Canis lupus familiaris: one gene and its partner. The protein of the gene in region 1 interacts with the protein of each later gene in a pairwise test. Links are inferred from orthologs where the notes say so. Each region holds a gene or a part of one and is shown on either strand. Other genes may lie near its edges.

Region 1 (9,920 bases):
TTAGGAGTTCTCCCCTCAGCACCGTGTCTACCTGTGTTGGTCCCTTTGGTTGAATGCCTTTCCTGCTCTGGCCTGCCTGCCACCTGCCCTCACATAGGGGAGAGACCTCTCTCAGCCAAGATCGATGTTTTCTCTCTTTCTCCGTTCTGTGGGTCTCCTCTCACAGACCGCGAACCTGTCCTGACTCAGACACTGCTCTCCTCCCTGCCTAGGTACCTGCTGGAGCAACGGGACGTGGAGGTGAATGTGCGGGACAAGTGGGACAGCACCCCCTTGTGAGTGCCGGGTGGGTGGGTGGTCATGGCAGGTGTGTGTGTGGGGGTGGGGCCTTCAGGCCTCATAACAGCCTCCCATACTCCTCCTTTCCCCCCCCTCAGGTACTACGCCTGCCTCTGTGGGCATGAAGAGCTAGTACTTTATCTTCTGGCCAATGGTGAGAGAAGGAGCCGGGGCTCTGTATGCGTGTGTGCATGCATGCATGCGTGTGTGTGTGTGGGGGGGGTTGCATTTGCAGACACTCTCAAGTCCTGTCCTTTCTTCACCGCTATACACACCCAGTCAGCAAGTACTGTGGGTTCTACTTTTGGAACCTGTTTTCTTATGTCCACTTCCCCATCTCCACAGCCACCACCCAGCCCAACTATAGCTCTCTGCCCAGCCCCAAAGCCAGCCTCCTCTGGTCTCCTGTCTGCCCCTTTTGCCCTACCTACAGTCCATGCTCCATATTGCAGCCTGATGGGTCTCACGAGTCTGATAGGCTTAAAGTTCCCCAAGACCTGCCATTTGCATTTAGCATAAAACTACACTGCCTTGCCAGTCTTTGTGCTTCTAAGTGAACTGCTCTTTCCCCTCTGGCCTCACCTCTGTTGGCTCCCCCATGTGCTCACGCTTCCAGCCACACTGGCCTCTCTGGTGCTCTCGCATTCCAAGTTTGCTTCTACCACAGGGTCTTTGCACTCACTGTTCTTCCTATTTACATTGCTGTTTCTCAGATCTTTGCATGGCTGACTTCCTCATTCCATTCAGGTCTCTGTGTGTTGTCACTGACACAGTGACCTTCTTTGGCCTCCCTGTGTGGCAGCCACAACCACTTTGCCTTGCTTTCTTTTTCTTCATAGCACCTGACATCATTTGTTAACATGTTCATTGTCCACCGCCACACTGGAGGATCGGTTAGTCAGGACTGGGATGTGTGTTTATGGCTGTGTCCGGGGCCTAGAGCAGAGTGGTCTCTGAGCCTGCTCTGTTTGTGGTCTGTGGTACCAAGACATGCCCATGTGCCCAGGCCCTGGCAGAGAAGATGCTGGTGTCAGAGTGGGCCCAGGATAATTTGGCAGGCGCTCCGAAGTCCAGGGCTGGGCCCTACACGTGGGAAGGTTGCAGGGGGAGAGATTAGGATTTCCCCCCAGACCCTGTCCCTGCCGCAGTGTACATGTTCCCGAGCCTGCTGACTGGCGAGCCCTGCTGCCCCCAGGAGCCCGCTGTGAAGCCAACACCTTTGATGGGGAGCGCTGCCTCTACGGGGCACTGAGCGACCCCATCCGCCGGGCCCTGCGCGATTACAAGCAGGTGACAGCCTCCTGCAGGAGGCGGGACTACTACGATGACTTCCTGCAGCGGTGAGATGGGGTGCAGGGCTGGGTGTGCATGGGGTAGGGCTGAGGACCCTCCTGCAGGGTTGGGGGAAGGGCCTGCTGAACACCTGCTCCGCTTGCTCCTCCCCAGGCTCCTGGAGCAGGGCATCCATAGTGACGTGGTCTTTGTGGTGCACGGGAAGCCCTTCCGGGCACATCGCTGTGTGCTGGGTGCACGCAGTGCCTACTTTGCCAACATGCTGGACACCAAATGGAAGGGCAAGAATGTCGTGGTCCTTAGGCATCCACTGGTGTGTCCCTCCCAGGGGCAGGTGGAGGGACAGCAGGGAGCTTATGCTGGGTGGCCGCCTCTGACCTTCCCTCCTGGTCTCCCTGCCTGCAGATCAACCCCGTGGCCTTTGGGGCCCTGCTGCAGTACCTGTACACAGGTGAATCTCTGAGCCTGCGGGACACTGGCAGGGAGGGGGTTTCTGTCCAGCAGAAACGGGGGCCTTGGGCCCCCCTTGTACCTCCTGGAACTTGTGCCCTGCAGCGTGGGGCTGTTCTAGCTGCCTCCTGGGTGGGCTGGGAAACAGCAAGCTGGAGGGTCTACTCAGGAGGAGCTTGTCCCACCTACACACCAAGTCCCCTTCCATCTGTCCTGGGGCCTATGGAAGTCAGGCAGTGGCTCTTGAGGGGGCAAACCAAGGCAGGAAGGAGATCTGGGAGCCTTGGTGCTGGGGACCACAGAGAGCTCCTCTCGGGCCCTGAGCTTCCTGTGTCTCCCCTAGGCCGCCTGGACGTCGGCGTGGAGCATGTTAGTGACTGTGAGCGCCTGGCCAAGCAGTGCCAACTGTGGGACCTGCTCAGCGACCTGGAGACCAAGTGTGAGAAAGTGTCTGAGTTCGGTGAGTCCAGGCTTGGGGTCAGGGTGTCGGGCAGGAACCAGCAGCCCCCGGGCCCTGCAGCTGTATTGTCCCCTCCACAGTGGCTTCCAAGCCAGGCACGTGTGTGAAGGTGCTGACCATCGAGCCCCCGCCGGCAGATCCCCGGCTTCGGGAGGACATGGCCCTGCTGGCCGACTGCGCCCTGCCCCCGGAGCTCCGTGTAAGCACAAGGAGGGTGGGGCCCCATGTGGACGTGGCCATGGTAGACAAGCCCCGCGCCTGGCTCCATCCTTGGGCTGGAGCCAGTCCCTTTCTCTGAGCCCACTTTACTTGGGTCGTTGTCACACTTCAATTTGCAAATGGGGCTGCAGGCCATCCCTCCAGATCGAGCTAGACTAGACCTGTGGCTAGGACTGGCTGCTCTCCTGTGTCCCACCTGCTCCAATGGTGTCTCTTCCTTCATCTCCCAGGGTGATCTCGGGGAGCTGCCCTTCCCTTGCCCCGACGGCTTCAACAGCTGTCCTGATGTCTGCTTCCGGGTGGAAGGTTGCAGCTTTCTCTGCCACAAGGTGCCGTCCCTTACCGCCCCCCCATCCCCGCCCCCTTGCCTTATGTCCCCGGCCAGCTCTGGGGACAGGCACTGGCCCCCACCCTTCCTTAGCCCAGCCTCCCCCAGGCCTTCTTCTGCGGCCGCAGCGACTACTTCCGGGCCCTGCTGGACGACCACTTCCGAGAGAACGAGGAGCTGGAGGCCTCAGGCGGCCTCCTGGCCATCACTCTCCATGGCATCTCGCCTGACATCTTCACCCACGTGCTCTACTACATCTATAGTGACCACACAGAGGTGCGGAGCTCGAGCAGGCTGTGTGCGCTGGGCTAGGGGGTGTGACCATCGGGACAGGTGTGCAGCCGGGTCGCTCCGGGGCTTCAAGGGAGTGCCTGTGTCCTGCTCTGCTCTGTGGGGCTGGTCTGCTCTGCTCTGAGGTTGGAGAGGAAGCATGGGACGCGTTTGGGTTTTTCTTTCAGGCAGAGGGGACCTTGGTTGGTTCCAGAACAGGAATGAGTGGCAAGAGCCACATCATGAGCACATGACACTTGGGATTTAATATGAGCTACCTGGGGTCCCCAGGTCCTCGGTTGGAGGGTGGGTAGGGAGAGTAACCCTGAATTACCACAACAGTGGGGAGCGCCGCGCCTCCTGCCTCTGGATTGCTGTCCATTTCCAGGGTTCTGGATTTCTGTCTCCTGTGCTTTTGCTTCCCTGGGTCTTCAACTGGCCCAGAGCATCCTCAGAGCATGGGTGACATGGGCAGCAGTAACTGCTGCCGAAGGTGTGCTGTGTGTGTGTGTGTGTGTGTAAAAGGCCCCATGATAAAGAGACCCCCCCCAAATACAATCACATAAAGGAGAGAGATGTTTGCTCTCCTTCACGTCTGAAGTGAGTGCGCCAGGACAGGTGACCTGCGGGGACCCAGGTTATCCCCTCCATCTTGTCACCCTGACATGGCCTGGGGGCAGTCAGCAAGCCTTCTCTGAGGACTAGGTGTCAACATCGTGCAGAAATGAGTGGGTATGGCTGTGTCCCACTCTGTATTCATTACGAAACACAGAGTGGGCTGGACCTGGTCCACAGCACCTGAGGAGGTGTCCTGTGCATCTGGATATTGGATATTGGGGTGCAGGCTGACTCACAGCTTAGGAGGAAGAATAAAATGAAACACACTGTTTCCTTTGTCATAGGCCAGGTGGAGGCCACACCCACCGTTCTCCTGTGGCCCAGGAGAGAACTCACTTAGTGGCCGTACTTGCCAAGCAGGCAGGTGGGGCTGTGTGGCCTCTGTCAGGAGTGGGGCCTGGGGGACAAGCTGGGCTGTGATGTCAGCCTGTGTTCACCTCACATGGTCCCCATTTGTAAGCCTAGCAGCCTCTCTACGTGGGCACCCTTCCCGGCCTCCATTCCTCCTGCAGCATAGCTCAGCTCTGGCCCCTGCCACCCGGGGTCCATGTTCCCCCGCTCCCTGCCACACTCCTGCGGGAGCTTTGCCATTGAGGACAGTATGTAATGGCTGTAAGTGTGGACTTGGGCTCCTAACCTGGTTTGACGCTGGGTTAGCTGCTCACAAGCTGTGTGACCCTAGGCTGGTTCCTCAGTGGCTCTGTGCCTTAGTCTTCCCCTTCTAGAAAGTGGGGATGGTGATAGTTGTGGTCTTTTAAGGTCTTGTGCAGATGGATGTGTGTCACAGGTGGAGCCCAGCCTGAGTAAGCAGTGCGTGTGGCTTGGATGTGCTCGAAGAGGTCCTGCCTGCCCTGTCTCCAGCCTCTCCCTCTGCCCGTCCAAAGTCTGGATGGGAGCCGAGCCTGAACCTGTGGTCTCTCCGAGCACAGGGTCCAGGTGTAGGTGGAAGGGAGCCGGTAAAGAGTTACTCTGCTGCCTTGGGGGGGGGGGGGTTCCTGCCTCAGTTTGGAAAAGCATCTTCTGTTTTCTGACAACAGAGGCAGGCATGGTTGTACTGCCCAGAGAGGAAACTGAGGCACACAGAAGTGAAGTGACTTGCCTGGGTCCCACAGCTAGGATTTCAGAGTGTGGGTCTGTGTGCTTCACAGCTCAGCTTCTCTCTCCTGGTTAAGGGCCTAAGGTGTGGGAACCCGTCTCTGCCAAGCTCTCTGGTCCCACGGATGCCTGCAGCAATCTGGCTGGGCTAGGGGGTGTGACCATCGGGACAGGTGAGGCCTGTCACCCTGAGGCCTGAGAGGGAGCTCCTGCCCTACCTGCAGCCTCCACCATCTCCCTAATAGCTCCCAGCCTTGCTGCTAGGGCCCCGAGTGGTCCCCGGTGACCTTGCGGCTCATCCTCCCCTAACCCCTTCGTTCACTGCAGCTGCCCCCCGAGGCGGCCTACGATGTGCTGAGCGTGGCCGACATGTACCTGTTGCCTGGCCTGAAGCGGCTCTGTGGCCGCAGCCTGGCCCAGCTGCTGGATGAGGACAACGTGGTGGGGGTGTGGCGCGTGGCCAAGCTGTTCCGTTTGGCGCGCCTCGAGGACCAGTGCACTGAGTACATGGCCAAGGTCATCGAGAAGGTGGGCCTGGGGCAGCCGTGGTGGGTGGGGCAGGCTGAGGGCAGCCGGCCGGCGTGCTCTGAGCTGGCCTGTCCACAGCTGGTGGAGCGGGAGGACTTCGTGGAGGCCGTGCGGGAGGAGGCGGCGGCCGTGGCTGCCCGGCAGGAGACGGACTCCATCCCGCTGGTGGACGACATCCGCTTCCATGTGGCCAGCACGGTGCAGACCTACAGTGCCATCGAGGAGGCGCAGCAGCGGCTACGAGCACTTGAGGACCTGCTGGTGTCTATTGGCCTGGACTGCTGACTGTCGGCGTGTGGCACGGGCGGGCAGCTGTGTGTGTGCTTGCACGCATGTTCCTTGCTCCCTGGAGGAGGGTGTCCTGGTGGGCTGAGGGGGCTCTGTGGGGTGCCCCTCCCCCAGCGTGCCTGGGGCCCCAGGAGAGGGTCAGGATGAGCCCCCTCCCAACACAAACCAGCCCCCCGAGGCCCTGGGGCTGAGCACCACTCAGGGACACCTGGGGTGGGGGTCTCTTAGGACCTCCCTTCCCCGAGCCCCTCCACACCCCCGTTCTCCTGGCCCTGGCTTGTTTGCTTCCAAGCCAAGCCCAGCAAGCAGGCTTCTCCCAGGCACAGAGCTGGCCCATGGGGAGCAGAAGAGTCTTTGTGTGGCAATAAAGCTTGAATTCACTGTGAGAGCCTGAGCCTGTGTCTGGGGCGGGGTGCAGGTGCAGGGGGCCAGGGAAGAGCTCTAGATTCGGAGCCCCTTATCCATCGGTGCCCAGCAGGGGCTCCTCGGGGGCTGGGTGTGGTGGGGGTTCTGAGTAGGGGCCTTGAGACTCCCCAGCTGGGCCCAGCCTCTCCAGCCGTGGGACTCTCCCCCTTCCCCTCCAGCACAGCTTTTGCCATGTGAAGTCCGACACACCCACCTGCCCTCAGTGGTCCTGGGGGAGGTTCAGTGGGAGGCTGACCCAACCACCATAGAGGCCGTTCCTCCTCAGACCGGGCAAGGACTGGCTTCTGAGCCAGACATATTTCTAGCACTCATTTATGAGCACCCCCTGCACACCAGAGGCCGTTCATCTAGCGGTGGAGCCTCCCCACCAGCACCTGCGTTTTATGGCTGCGAAGACCCAGGCTGGGCTGTTGGCAGGGCCAGGGGGAGAGGCCCTGGTCAGCCCTGTGGCAGCAGCTTGCTCTGCAGCTCCAGGGGGAGGGCCAGGGAGGAGTGAGTGGGAGTGGAGGGTAGGAGGGGGCCCAGTGAGCCCAGCTGGCCCTAGCCTGGCTCCCTCCACTCCTCAGCCCACTGGCGGCTGGCCATGGAGAGTCTCGTGCCAGGAGCAGCTGAGGACTGACCTCTTGTCTTCTCTCAGCCCCCGGCCAGCCTCCTTCCTGGGGAGGCCTCCTGGCCTCTGCCACGGGAGCTATGACATTATCAGGAATGTTAGGTGGCCATCTCCGGATGCCCTATAGGCTGTCCCCCGACCTGAGGCCCAGGCAGCAAGCGTCTGAGGCCTGTCCCATTCTGCCCTAGGAACAGCACTGGGTGTCCTGCCGTCTGTGCCTTACATGTTCATCAGTTCTAGAGTTTCTGGGATCTCCTTTTCCCCTCTGCATGTCCTCCATGTTGGTCTGGCAAGTGGCTCCCATGGGGGAAGCAGTAAGGTGGGATGGGTGAACAAAGTAGCAGCAGGCAGGGAGGTGATTGGCATGGGGGTGGGGGAAGGGGACGTGGACGGCAGGGCCTGCTGGGTGGAGGGCAGGGTCTGGGCATGGGCCTGGGAGCCTGAAGAGCCTCGGAACGAGACCCAGGGAGGTCATCATGGCCAGAGCCCAAGCCACCCCGGGACCAGAGTTCCTACCCCAGCTCTGCCTTTTCCTCCCTGGTCACAGCTCCATGCCTTGGTTTACCCAGCTATAAATTGGGGTGACTCTGATAGTGCCTCCCTTTTGGCTTGGGGCATTAAAAGTGAGCTCCGGCTACTTGTGAAGGGCCCTGCACTGGCCTGGGTGGGGGCAGGGGGCGCAGTAAGCTGGTATTTGTGAAATGCTGGGCTCCACCCAAGGTGTGGAGGGAGGGGCAAGGAAGGTGAGGAAGGTGAGGAGGGCGAGGCAGGGGCTGACTTGCAACTTTGCAAGGTCACTGCTTGCCTTGGGCACCCAGACTTCCTGGGTGGGGCCAGGCTGGTGGCCTAAGAGCCACACACACTAACTCCACGGGAGGCAAGGTATATATAGTAAGAGGTTTAAACATTAAAAAAGGGTTTTTAAAAAAATTATGATGCTTTTTCTTTTTTTAAGATAGATACTGGGGACAACAGTGAACTCTATAGAAACCCATCTCTCTCTTTTTTTTTTTACAGCTGTTATTTGAAATCGTGCTTGTTTTAGAATAGATTGTAAGTAAAAACCTAAGTGAGGCGGTTTAAGAGCGAGTCCTCTGGAAGTGGTACCTTAGCAGGTCACCGAGAGAGTGGCAGTGAGGTGCACCTGCTAGGGAGGCAGTGGATCTGGAGAGTCACCACCCCCAGGACCGTGGTCCCCTCAGCCCCACGGCTGCAGGGGCATTCGCCAACTACACCACACCTTCCTCATTTTTTCAGCTACATGTGGCCTAAGGTGGGGAAAGGCCTTCTGTCTGAAGGTGTTCAGGGCGGTGTTGCAAACAGGAAACAACAGGAAGGGCACCCGTGAGCCCAGTGGGGAAGGAAATGATGGTAAGCTTCCTGTGGTCGGGGGGCTGCTCAGGCAGCCTCAGTACATGCAGGGGGAAGCTGGGGGCTGTTCAGCCTGCCTTGAGGTGCCCCCCGCAAGCCCGGGCTTAGAAACACGGCATGCTTCCAGAGCAAGAGTTGAGGGTTTCATCTGATTTCTGTGTCGTTTTCATAGTGTGGCTGTATTGCATTTAGAATCAAAAAGGACATCTGTCCTCAAGTAACAACTTTAATTCATTCCTGCTGAATGGAAAAATAGGTCCATGAATTCTATTGAGAAACACATGCATTCTATCCCAGCTCAAGTTATTTGCACATTTTTCACAGACAAAATAAGCACCACATGGCTTTGTACTAAGAGGTAAGGAAGGGACGGCTTGTCAAGGCCCCAGGGAGAGAGGGAGCCATGGCGGTAGGGGCAGGGGCCGGGTCAGTTAGGTGCTGTGTACAGAGTTGTGCTGGAGCTGGGAGAAACATCAGGATCCCTGAGCCTGTCTTTATTTAAAAGGCTGCTATTTGGTTCATCATGCTTTTTTTTTTTTTTTCCATTACTTTTAATTTAAATCACATAAAAGTATGGTCTTGTTCATTAAGATTCCTGGTGCCCCATTTACATTGTGTCCAAGACAAGTGCCTTACTTGCTTCCCCCTGGTCCTGGTCCTGACCCAAACAGTCATTACACAAGGCAGGTCTGTAATAAAAATAGAAAATACTTTTTCACCCATCCTATAAAATCTTCCCCACTTGCAAAAAATAAAAATTAAAAGAGAGTGAAAGCTTTGCATATGTTCTTTCGTTCACCTAGAGAACCGCATACGCCTTAATGTCCCATTCATGGCAGTGGATCGAGGAGCCCCGCTGGGGACCAGGCTGCCATTGGGCACTGGCATCATACGGGCAGGTGTGCTCTTGCCAGGCCTAGGGGCAGCCTTAATCCCTGAGTGAACATTTTGAAGGCATAACGATTTCTGACTTGGGCAAAGTCTGAAGGGCAGGCCTCAGAAGAAAGGACTTCTGGGGCCCTCAGGCTTCTGGGAGCTTCTACCTTGGAGCCGGGAAGCCACCCTCAGGCAACAGCAGGCCCTACTGGTGGTTTAAGATCTGAGCATTGCATTGGCGCTCTGTCCCTGGGGCTGTGTCGCCCACCTTCCTTCTCTGGGAGGGAGTGGGGTCTCCTGCAGCACAGTCTCAGACACTGGGCTGGAGCTCACACTCTGCACTGGCTTTGAGCCAATCACTCCATCCCTCAGAGCCTGTTTCCTGAGCAGTCTGAACGAGCAATACTACCAACCACCCAAAAGCTCAAGTAGAAATTCCATGGGGGCGCCCACGAGGAAGCCTCCACTAGGAGAGGCAGCTCAACTAGGGTCAGCTTCAGAGTGAATTTTCATTCTTCCCTGGAGGATCTAAGAGGAACAGTGTGGGGCATACTCTGTAAGCTTTTCTGATCTGCAGCATTTTGGAGATATGCATGTGTTCCTCATGTTCCCTCTGGATCCCTTGGGCCTCAAGGGTCACCAGACCTTGTTGATGTTACCTCTTCAGTAGCCACCAATCAGGGCTCTGGCTCACCTCCAGCTCATTCTCACCCCCTGTTGGCATCTCCCAGGCAGATACTGACCCTGGCACTCCCATCCTTGAAAGGCTCCAGCACATGCACTTGGTCCTCAGATACCCTCCTACCCTG
Region 2 (11,449 bases), on another chromosome or scaffold:
TGGAGTCCTACCCCTGCCCCAGGCGGCAGCTATCCCCTGGAGGGGCACTGTAGGGACCCCTCCCTCCCTGGACTCCCCTCCTGGGGAGGCGGCAGCAGCAGAGTGGGCGGATGAACAGCCCACCCGGGACTCCTGGCCTGGCTTTGCTGTTGCTGGTGTCGAGGGGAGCCACCCCCAAAGGGGCGGGTGCTCCACCCCTAGTCATGGACCTGCTGCACTCACGTGGCTGCCCAGTGGGTGTCTGGTCCCCCCCCCCCCCGCCCCGCATGTGTGGGGGGGAGGCTCCACCCCCACATCCCTGGCTGTGATGCGACAGAGACTAAGGCTGGTGGCTGTTCTGTGTGCCGGGTGAGTGTGTCACGCCTGCCCTGCCCTGCCCGTAGCCTCTGGACTGGGAGTCTCCAGCAGTGCCCCTCAGGGCCTTGTGCTTGTTTATGCTTGCCCTGTCATCTAATGAATAGATTTTCTTATGCCTGGAGCTGGACTAGATCGTGTCTCCCACAAGCCTGGGACTGTCATGGAGGGAGGGGACATGTGAGTTACCCTTGTGCCACCCACTCCTGTCACAGGGCTGAGTGCTTATCTGAAGGGAAGAAGACCCTGAAACAGATGATGGGTGGATGGGTGGGGGTGGATGGATGTGTGAATGGATGATACACAGGTGGATGAGTGGGTGGGCGGGTGGATGGACAGATGGATTGTGAGGGTAGACAGCTGTGTGAATCGACAGGTGGATGGATGTTTGAATGGATGCATGGACAGGTAGATGAATGGATGGGTGAATGGACAGATGAATGTGTGGGAGTAAATAGCTATCTGGACGGAGAGATGGATGGATGGATGGAGAGATGGATGGAGGGAAGGGTGGATGGAGGGATGGATGAATGGATGGAAGGATGGAGGGAGGGATGGAGGGAGGGAGGGAGGGAGAGAGGGAGGGATGGATGGATGGGGGATGGATGGATGGATGGATGGAAGGATAGAGGGAGGGAGGGAGGGAGGGATGGATGGATGGGGGATGGATGGATGGGGATGGATGGATGGGGGATGGATGGATGGATGGATGGAGGAATGGATGGATGGATGGATGGATGGATGGATGGAAGGATGGAGGGAAGGATGGATGGATGGGGGATGGATGGAGGGATGGATGGATGGATGGATGGAAGGATAGAGGGAGGGAGGGAGGGAGGGATGGATGGATGGGGGATGGATGGATGGATGGATGGAGGAATGGATGGATGGATGGATGGATGGATGGAAGGATGAGGGAAGGATGGACGGAGGGAGGGATGGATGGGGGATGGATGGATGGATGGAGGGAGGGAGTGGAGGGAGGGAGGGATGGGGGGATGGATGGAGGGAGGGATGGAGGGATGGAGGAATGGATGAAAGGATGGAGGGATGGATGGGGGTACATGCATATGTGGATGGTTGGATGAAGGGATGGAGCATGGATGGGAGATGGACGGATGGATGGATGGTCCCCAGAGTGTACAGCACTGGGGAAGAGGCAGATAACTTGGCCTCAGAAGCTCCTGTCAGGGGCCCTGGGCTCAGGAGCGGGGTGGGCGGGCCGGGTGCCCCCAGTGGAGCAGCAGGTGTCCAACACTGAACCCTCACTCACCACCAATCTTGTACACGTCCTGCAGTGGCAGACGCAGGGGCTTATCTGTGGGGCGTGTAGGGGGCAGGATTGTGTCCAGGGCCTCCAGCAGGGACACGCCACTGGCGTTCCCCTCCTTACGCTCCACTTTCCAGCCCTTGAACCACGGCATCTGGATGGGAAGAAGAAGGTATCCATTGGAGGGAGAGACCTCCTGCACCCTCGCTGCCCTACACCATAGCCCCACGGCCTCCCGGGACCCTCCAGGAATCCCGGTGGAGGTACCTGACCTGAGGGGGGCCTGGGGAGCAGGGGAGCACAGACCCGCCCTCTCCACTGCCCAATGTTCAGCTCTTTACCCACGTCCATCACGATGCTGCACGGCTGGTCCCCGCACCCTCCTCACCCCCCAGTTCACACTCCCAACATCACGGAAGCCTTGGAAGAGGTCGGGGAAAAGATGTGGAGCCCAGTCCCGCTTAGTCCCCCTTTCCTGCAGCCCTCGGACCCCCCGGGCAGGGCTGGCACCGGCGCGGGAAGGGCTGGAGGCTGGCCAGCGGCCAGGCCAGAGGCAGAGAGTCCACGCGGCCCCCAGCCACTGTGCCAACCGTCTCCGGGCCCGGCTGGCCCTTCCCTGCCCAGGGCTTCCCGGCAGCAGACCCAGCACCCTCCTGGCATGGAGCCCCCCGGCCCGCTGGCCACGGGCAGGCAGAGGCGAGGGGCCGGCAGCACCGCCCAGCCCGCCCGGTGGGACTGGGTCCTGTGGGGGGCACAGATCAGCAGCCAGCTCCCCGAGCAGCAGGTCAGGAACGGGACACTCTAGGGTAGGGCGCCCTGTCCGCCTCCCGGGAGGGTGGGGAGTGCAGTCCACTCACCCATCGCCACACGACAGCCGTGTGGGACCCTCACCAGGCAAACCCGCAGCCCAGCGAGCCGGGGGCAGGGTCCCCAGCCTCGTCCCCTGACCACAGGGCTCCAGGACAGTCCCCCTGGCTCTTCAAGGGCCCCTCCCCGCCCGCAGCACTGGCCAGAGCAGACGGCCGCCCTCCTGGGCCAGGCGCGTCCTCTGGCCCCACTGTCCAGGCACCTGGCCTCAGGCTCTGAGAATTCCTCACCTCCCCAGTCCCCGCGCCGCAGGCTGCCCGAGCCACAGGCTTCCCACCCGGCCGGTGGAGAGCGAGCCCTCGGCCCCTCCCAGAGCCTAACCTGCCCGCGCCCGCAGAGGCTCCTGGCAAGGTGAGGACGGGCCGGGCAGAGCCCCCAGGCACCGAGCACCGGGCCTCGGACCCGGCGGCACTGCTCCCGCGCTCCCCGCCGGAGGGGGCACCCCTGGCCAGGGAAGGGGCCTGTGCCGGCCTCGCGGGGCCACGAGGCCCGCGCCCCGAGCACGAGCCCCACGCGGAAGCGAGCGCAGCAGGGCGGGGCGTGGATGCCCGGGGGAGCCCGGGTCCTGCCCGCGCCTGGTCCGCGCCCGGGCCCGGCTCTCAGGGAGGGGTCCCCGCAGCCCCGCGCCCACCCGCCCGCCCGCCCGCGGGCACTCACGTTGGGCGAGGGCTCCAGCATGTTGTCCCCGTGCCAGCCCGAGATGGGCACGAACGGCACGGTGGCCGGGTTGTAGCCGATCTTCTTGATGTAGGCGCTGACCTCCTTGACTATCTCGTCGTAGCGCTTCTCGCTGTAGGCCGGCTCCGTGGAGTCCATCTTGTTGACCCCCACGATGAGCTGCTTCACGCCCAGCGTGTAGGCCAGCAGCGCGTGCTCGCGGGTCTGTCCGTTCTTGGAGATGCCCGCCTCGAACTCGCCCACGCCCGCCGCCACGATCAGCACCGCGCAGTCCGCCTGCCCGCAGGTCGCCGTGAGCCCGGGCCCCTCCAGGCGGTCGCCCGGGGGTGGGCCCCAGGGGTCTCGACCAGGGGCAGCAGCAGGGCCTTGTCCATCCGTGCGGACGGCCGTCTATCTGGGTCCGTGTGTCTGTCTGCAACGGCGGCCCTGACCCACAGTCCCTCCCGGCCCCTCTGCCTGGCTGAGGTGACGGGCACCTAATCATTCTCTGGGGGCGGCTCTGTAGCAGGTGGGGTGGGGGGTGCCTGCCCTGGCAAGGAAGCGGAGGGAGCCCAGCCACCCCTCCAGGACCCCAGGGCCCTGGCCCCTCGGGTCCCCTTGGCCCCCCACAGCCCCGCCCACCTGGGATGTGCCGGTGATCATGTTCTTGATGAAGTCACGGTGGCCGGGGGCGTCGATGATGGTGATGTAGTACTTGGTGGTCTCGAACTTCCAGAGGGAGATGTCGATGGTGATGCCACGTTCCCGCTCCGCCTTCAGTTTGTCCAGCACCCAGGCATACTTGAAGGAGCCCTTCCCCATCTGCACAGGTGGGGCATGGCTTAAGGAGGGACCCGGGACTCAGCCCGCTGGCCACGGGTCCCCCTGGGCCACGGGAGCATTCGCAGCAGAGGCCTGGGTGCCAGGCTCCCTCACTCCCCACGGGGCCCTAGGGCTCTGATCGTCTGTAGAATGAGGGAGCCAGGAGCAAGGACCCTGAGGGGCACCCAGACCTCAGCCCTGCCCTGCCCGGGCCCTGCCACCCGGTGTCCCCGGCTCCTGCCCTCTAGATGGTTGCCATTCGGACGTCCTCCAGGAGGTGGCGCAAGGGCCTGGGAGCCAGGCTTGGAGAGAAGCCACCAGGCCTTTAAACCCCTCCCCTGGCTGAGGGCTCCCCTTTTTCCGCGCTGGCCACCCCCAGCCCCGGAGATCCCTGCATGAACCGGAGGCCCACAACGCCACCGTCAAGGTGTCAAGCCCAAAACACAAAACAAAACCCTCTATGACGATTTTTTTTTTAAGGGAAAAAAAGGAAATTGGATGAGGTTGCATGGAAGGGCCTGGCTTTCCAGCTCTTTCTACAGCCAAGGCTTCCAAGTAGCTCTAAGGCTCCACCTGCAGACACCTGTGCCCAGCCCGGCGGAGACCCCCATACCCTGGGCCAGAGCTGAGGCTGCTGCCCAGCAGGACAAAACCCCCGCAGGGCTGTGCATGGACAGGGCTCTGGCCTCCAGGGAGGCTGCCCAGCCAGGAGGGCCACCCAGACAGGGCCCAGAGGGGACCCAGCGAGACCTGAGCCAGGCATCCTGCAAACCCCCACAGCCTCCGCCAGCGCCAACCCCGCATGGAAGGAGGGAGTGACGCAGCTTTTGGGCTCAGGCGCGGAGGGAGGCCGCCCAGCGCAACACCCACACACTCACTCTGAGCAGGGTCAGCCCAGGCCGGCAACTGAGGCCTCCTGGGCCCAGGCCCCAGCCCCTGTCATCCAGGAAACACCCTCACGGCCACCCAGACGGGGCCTCTCCCGGAGCCCAGGGGTGGGGGTAGAGGCTGCAAAGGGCAGACACCCACTCCGTGGTCACTTCCCACCCACCGGCTCGGCCACTTAAGAGAAAGGAGGTCAGTCAACGGGGCCCCCATCATTGTCACGAGGCACAAGAGGCAACCAGGACCCCCCCAAAAGAGCTCCACCCTGGACGAGCAGCCCTCCCCAGCCCAGCCTGAGAAAATGGAGCTGATGGGCTGGGTGCCCATCAATCAGCTATTAATAGCCGCCCTGAGTCCTGGCCCAGCCCTGGGACAAGTGAGGGCATCACCCCCTCAGCCCCGGAGACACAGGAACCCCACGCGGGTTCCAGGGTGCTCCACCCCAACTCGCCAGAGGTTTCCAGAGCCAGAAAGGCTGCCCCCAGGGCACCTCCCTGACCCGGAGGCCCCTCCAGCCGGCCGGCCCTGCCCCACTCCAAGCACATCCCCTGGGAGGCTGCCCCCAGGGCCCCCATCCCTCAGGTACTGGCCCCCAGGCAGGTCCTTTAGGGCTCGTGCCCCCTCGTGCCCCCTCGCCCTGGGGGAGGTCAGCGGAGCCTCATGCCCCAGAGTCACTGAGCGCCAGCCCGGCCACCACGTGGGGCCGACCTCTTAGTGGGCGGGGGAGGGGACAGGCTCACCTCAGCGGCTTCCTTCTCGAACTTCTCAATGGTCCTCTTGTCGATGCCTCCGCACTTGTAGATGAGGTGGCCCGTGGTGGTGGACTTGCCCGAGTCCACGTGGCCAATGACCACAATGTTGATGTGGGTCTTCTCCTTGCCCATGCTGCCCGGGGGGGTGGGGAGGGGCTGGGACGGCCTGGAGCGCTGTGGCTGGGATTCTGGGATTCTGTGGGGTGGGGCGGGGGACAGGTGATGGGGGCTTCAGAGAGAACCCACAGACAGTGCCCAGCACACCCCTGCCTGCAGAAGGAGCGACATTCCCACATCTGTTGGGGCAGGAAGTCCCCTCAGCCCCCCTCAGCCTGGGCCTGGCCCGTTTGGGTCAGCCGGCAAGCCCCCACGGTCCAGTGTCCTCCAAATATCTGGGTGTCGTGCCCACAGGGCCCCCTGAAGCAGGTTAGCCCCCCTCTGGAGAGATGGAGAGACACCAGGCTGGGCGAACCCCATGACCAGTCAGGAGCCTGGTGATGAGTCACCCTGCCCTGCTCTCCAGCGCTCGGCCCTGCCGCCTGCTGCCCCACCAGGAGTCCCGGGCCCTGCGCTGCCCCCCACCCCGCCAGCAGGTGGCCAGTGCCCCCCTGCCCCTCTGGCATCCCCTCACCCCTGCGGCGGCCCCGGGGACAGGCTGGGCCCCAGCTCCCGCAGGGCGGCTTGCACAGCTCGGGCGCTCCCGATCGGATGGGCCGGGGCGGCCGGGGGCAGGGAGGTGGGGTCCCTGCTCCTGAGAGCGGGGAGGAATGTGGCCCCAGCAGCCAAGCTCTGCGAGCGCCGGACGGAGATGCCGGCAGCCCGCTGGGGGAGGGGGCGCCTCTGCTTTTCCCTCTGGTCTCGGCCCGGGGTCACAGCTCCTGCCCCGTCCTGGAGCTCAGGGCAGAAACCTGGGCAGCCCACGAGGGGACAGGTGGCTGGGCCAGGGGAAGCAGGTGCCCACAGCGCACCGTGGGGAGCCGACACCCAGCCCGGGCTCCTGGGCCCGCCGGGGTGGGGCCGGTGCCACTGCCCCCAGGTCTCGCCGCCTCCCCGGCCTCGGGATCCCCAGCTGCTCCCAGCACTGACCACCCTGCCCCAGCCCGCGGGGCCCCGGCCGGTCCCAAGGTCACAGCGGCAGGGCGCTCGCCGCCACCCAGAAGACGGTCCTGCCGCCAGCGCATAAACAAGCGCCGCCGCGGTGCCCCCACCCCACCCCGACCGCCCGAGGGGCCGACCCGGTGCCCGGTGCCTGGTGCTCGGTGTCTGTGCCCGGTGCCTGTGCCCGGTGCCCGGTGCGGGGAGCCGCTGGCCGAAGCCGGAGCAAGCAGCGCAGCGTCGCCAGGTGCCCGCAGCCTCCCTGGGCCCGGCCGCGGGGACAGAGGAAGCCCCGGGAGCGCTGGGGGCGGAGGCGGAGCCCGAGGCCAAGCGTCCTTACCCGGAGCCGAGGTCTCAGCCAGAGGGACAGGCGGCGCGGCGCCGGCGGTTTTATCTCTCCAGGAGGGGGTCCACCTATTGACGGCGCGGGCGCAATGCACTGCGCCCCTGCAGTACGGCAATGCGGTACCGGCGGGGGCGGGGCGGGCGGGGCGGCCGGAGCCGAGGGGTGCGGGATGCGGGCGACAGGATGCGGCAAGGCAGCGAGCGCCCGGCGCGGCGCCAGACCCGGAGGGAGTGCAGGCAGGGAGAGAAAGCGGGTCGGGGCTCGCGGGGGGGCGGGGACCGGCCGAGCCGAGCGAGGGGGGCCGGGGGAGAGCAGCGCAAGAGATGGAGGCCGAGCGGCGCCAGGCTCAGGCCCTCCTGGACGCAGAAAGGGTGGGGACGGCCAGGCCAAAGGCAGTGAAACCTGAAAGGGGGTCCTTGGGGACAGGAAACCGAGGTGGGGACGTGGTAGGAGCAGGTCAGGCCTGCGCCAGGAGTGGGGCTGGGCCCGGGCTCTGGGCCGTGGGCCTGGGGGGCTCGCCCCCGCCCTCCATGCGCTTGGTGCCTGGTGAGCAAATGAAGCTCCCTTGTGCCTCCCAGCGAGGCCCCGGAGCCCTGGGGCCTTCCTCCTTTGGGACCCTGCAATTGCTTGTTTTCAGGGCCCCCATCCCCGTGCGTCGGCCACATGGGTCACCCTGGCATGCCCCCAGCCCGGCCCCACGGCACAGCCGGAGAACGGTGTCTTCAGGGTCCCCTCAGCCGGCCGAGTGGCTCGAGGCTCTGTGGGAGATCCACCTCAACCTCCCTCCCCTGCTGTCCACCCTGGGCCTCTGTCCACGCAAGTCTGTTCCCAGAGCCCACCGACACCCTCCAGGCTGCCCTGGTGCGCGCGAGCGGGGAGGGGTCCCGGGCAGGCAGAGTCCAGGCTCTGGCCTCACTCCTGGCCCCCGTGTGACCAGAGTGCGAAGCCACGGATGGGCCAGTTCTGTAGAAAGTGTGTTGGGGGGGGTCTTGGAGGGTCCAGGGCAGCCCAGGGCAATGGCCAACGTGGGTTCTAAGGAGGGAACCAGGCAGGCCCGTGCTGTGTGAAAGCCCGGGGCGCAGGCCTCTTGGCCCCCCGCACCTCTCCCTGTGGCTCCATCCATCCGAGACCACTCCCACTCCTGTCTTATTCATCTTTGTAATTGCGAGGTCTGGGAGAAGGTCAAGCAAGGTGAGTGGGTGACAGCAGAGGCCCAGTGCCTAGCACCCTCCCCTGGGGCAATGCCTCACAGAGCCCCCGCAGCACAGCAGGAAGTAAAGGGGCCCAGGGCAGTGATTGGGGGCCAAGCTGGTCTCCCCAGCCCATGGGGGGCCTCTTGGGGAGGGGACAGGCCCTCCCACCAGGCCCTGCCCCACAGGACCCACATCTGCAGCCACAGCCGCACTCCTAACCCTTCCGGGCAGGGAGGGGCCCTCAGATGACTCGGGGCACTTCCAAGTGCTGCTGATACCATCAAACAGGAGCCAGGATTAAAAATAAACTGGCAAGCAGTGGAGACCCACCCCACCCCCGCCCAGCTGCCCTCTATATTTGACGTGTCCCTCCTGCCTGAAGGTTAGCAGGGATTTGGAAGACACTGGGATTGGATGAAGCTGGGATGGGCCAAACCATGACTGCAGAGGCCCAGTCCCTGGGGATGTGCACCCCAACTGCCCCAGAGGGACCACCAGCACCCAGGACCCTGGGCTGCCTGCAGACCGGCCCCCCAACAGGTCTGAGCTGCGCCCCTCCACTCCTGGCTCACCCACTGCGGTCAGCCTAGTGGCGACCAAATCACACCGGGGCTGGCCTGTGCCAGGAGGCCACGCTGCCCGGGGCGGCGGCCACTGCTGGTGGAATGCAGCAGCCTCCCCGAAGGTGCTGCGCGCAGCCCCCCCAAGGGGTCTCGGTGGGTCTCCCGAGTGCCTGTGTCCCCAGGCTGTGCCCCATCCGCCCGGGGTGGGCTGCCTGCCGGGGAGCCTGGACCCCACGGCGGCCAGCAGACCCGCAAGCTCACTGGACCGTGCGTAAACAAGGTACGGCGCTGAATAATGACACGCCTGCCGCCTGCCGCCTGCCGCCTGCGCCCGGTGACTCCTGGCCGGGGAGGTCTGCTGAATACCAAATACTACGCAGCCAGCCGGTCGCCAAGCCCCGCGGCTCACCAAGTGCTGGGCGGGGCCGCCGGCCACCGAGCACCCACTGGGCGCGGACCGCGGACCACAGTGCCCAAGGTCACACAGCAAGGAGGGCAGAGCGTGCAGGCTGCAGCCGAGCCAGGCCCGTGTTACATCAGGACAGACGCCAACTGGGTCCCACCTGCACTCCTCTCCTCCCCGGGGCGGGCTCGCCACACCTCCCCCTCCCCTCCTTCTCCTTCTCCCAAATCTGAGCCACCTGTCACGATGGCCCCCATAGCAACCACGGGTAGGGTGGGGGGCGCGAGCCAGGAAGGGGCCGGCCAGCCTGGTGCAGGGGGGCGGGCAGGAGGGGGTGCAGGTCCGCCCCCTCAGGCCCCTCTGGCCGCAGGTGCCCCCAGCCATGAGCGGCCTGGGGAGACGCAGGCAGCCCCCTCTTTGGCTGGCTGAGGCTTCATGAGCCTGGAGAAAGAAGATCCAGCTAAAATTAACCGTTATCAAGCTGTCAGCCTGGAAATAAACGCTGCTCCGATTGGCTGCCGGTGATGTCACCGCCCGGTTAATAATAACCGCGAATGCACACTGACCACCTGTGCATGTGCTGCCCTGTGGGGGCCAGGGCCACCGGTCACCCTGCTAGCTGCTGCCCAGGCGTGGGGGCAGGGTGGGGGCAGGGCTCGGGCGCCCGGCCGCCTTGGGGCGTCTCTGAATGACCTCAGCTCGCGGCCTGGGGTGACAGGACGTCAGTGCTCAGCCTCCCTGCGGGGCCAGTGACATCCAGTGTCCAGCCGTCCTGGGCAGCACGACCCTGGACGGCCTCGGGGACACTCGCTCCCGCTCCCAGCTCCCCGGGGAACCGAGCAGCCCCTGGGGCCGGAAATCGAGTGGCCTCCTCGGCCAGGAGCTTCCGCCAGAGAAGCAAGATCGAGGCCCCAGATCTGAGAAGTTGGTGCTCCCAGGGGGCGGGGCTGGAGGGGCGCGGCCGGCACCCCGACCCCCCAGCGGCCAGCCCTGTGCTCGCCCCGGGGCACTGGTGACCCTGGACAGTCCAGGCTGCCGGGGGAAGCCAGCGTGCCTGGGGGGTAGGGGCCGGGAGGAGGGGCACCGGCCTGGGCCCGCCCAGGAGCTGCGGTACCTGCGCCCTGGCTGTTGCCATGGTGACGGAGCCGCACCGCCGGGAGGAGCCTGGTGACGGTCACCTGGGCCGGGGGGCGGTCCGCCAACACTGGAGCTCCACCCCTGCCCGGCATCCCCCTGCTTCCAGGGAAGGGGCGTGGCGGGCTTGGCCCCCCAGCTACCCGAGAGGCCAGGTCTGTGGCGCCCTCCCGGCAGGTCCATGCGGCTGGGGGCCACCGGAGAGCCCCGGGGGAGGACAGGGGGGAGGGCGAGACGGCCCACTGCCCGCCCGCGGGTGGAGGGAGAGGGCTCGGGCTCAGGGAGGAGCGGCTCCGGCTCGGAGGCCCTGGCGGAGCCAAGCTCCTTAGCAACGGAGCCCAGGTGTTCACCTGGGGAATCGCCGCCTCCAGAGCAGCGGCCCCGGGGGCCTCGGGTTGACTGCTGCGGAGGCTGCGGTGGCGTCACTGTCCCCATGGGTGGTGGGGGCCCAGGAAAGACCCCCTGCACGGCGGCCGGGCTGAGGAGGCCAGCCCTCTCCTGGGGAGGAGGCGGGGACGGGCGCTGCCCTTGAAAATACTTAGGAGTGCAAGGGTCCCCATGTCCCTGACCCGCCCCAAGAAAGAGAACACCCCCTCCTGCCCTCCAAGGTCACCGCGGTCCCGACTGCAGACCCCAGATCGCACTGTCTGCTGGCAAACTTGCCCTGCGTGGTCTTCTGTGTGGCTCCTGCCACCGCCACCTGTTGTCATGCGTCCGAGCTGTTGTGTTTGCTGGTTGGTCCTCCTCACTGCCCCGCGACAGTCCGTTTCCGAATTGGAACGACCGCCAAGCCGCCCGCGCGTCCTGTGGGCTCCGTGTGCCACTCTGCCCGCGGACTGCCCCTCGGCTCTCAGGTCACACTTCAGCACCTGCTCTGTGACGATGGGCAGAGCTGAGCGCTTCCGCTTCGGGTGAGCAGATCCATCCTGTAGGGCAGGCGGTGAGGACGGACTTACAGCTGAGAGCAGATGAGCTGCTACGCGGCCTTTTCCCTCTGGCGATGAGGACATTTACCTATTGCTTTGCACATCTAGTAATCTGGGGCTGGAAGTTGAATGCTCTGGGAACCCTGGGTTCCGTGGTCCTCGCGTGAGGCCTGCTGGTTCTC

The links.
Region 2: the proteins of ABTB1 (region 1) and EEF1A2 interact in binary tests that used the Homo sapiens proteins (3 or more experiments, as listed by UniProt). The two-hybrid records come from large-scale screens. The link is inferred for Canis lupus familiaris from reciprocal best matches to the Homo sapiens genes ABTB1 and EEF1A2.

Annotation. Positions count from the first base shown.
Region 1 is NC_049241.1:1,784,344-1,794,263, forward strand, and holds the end of ABTB1 (ankyrin repeat and BTB/POZ domain-containing protein 1), read left to right. Parts: intron 1-212; coding exon 213-275; intron 276-377; coding exon 378-433; intron 434-1,474; coding exon 1,475-1,619; intron 1,620-1,725; coding exon 1,726-1,885; intron 1,886-1,977; coding exon 1,978-2,023; intron 2,024-2,365; coding exon 2,366-2,482; intron 2,483-2,562; coding exon 2,563-2,681; intron 2,682-2,931; coding exon 2,932-3,030; intron 3,031-3,122; coding exon 3,123-3,305; intron 3,306-5,339; coding exon 5,340-5,540; intron 5,541-5,618; coding exon 5,619-5,825; 3' UTR 5,826-6,214; downstream 6,215-9,920. UniProt on the Homo sapiens protein: May act as a mediator of the PTEN growth-suppressive signaling pathway. May play a role in developmental processes.
Region 2 is NC_049245.1:47,946,460-47,957,908, forward strand, and holds the start of EEF1A2 (elongation factor 1-alpha 2), read right to left. Parts: upstream 7,266-11,449; 5' UTR 7,043-7,265; intron 6,868-7,042; exon of another isoform or gene 6,843-6,867; intron 5,804-6,842; 5' UTR 5,740-5,803; coding exon 5,596-5,739; intron 3,971-5,595; coding exon 3,791-3,970; intron 3,446-3,790; coding exon 3,149-3,445; intron 1,779-3,148; coding exon 1,628-1,778; intron 1-1,627. UniProt on the Homo sapiens protein: Translation elongation factor that catalyzes the GTP-dependent binding of aminoacyl-tRNA (aa-tRNA) to the A-site of ribosomes during the elongation phase of protein synthesis.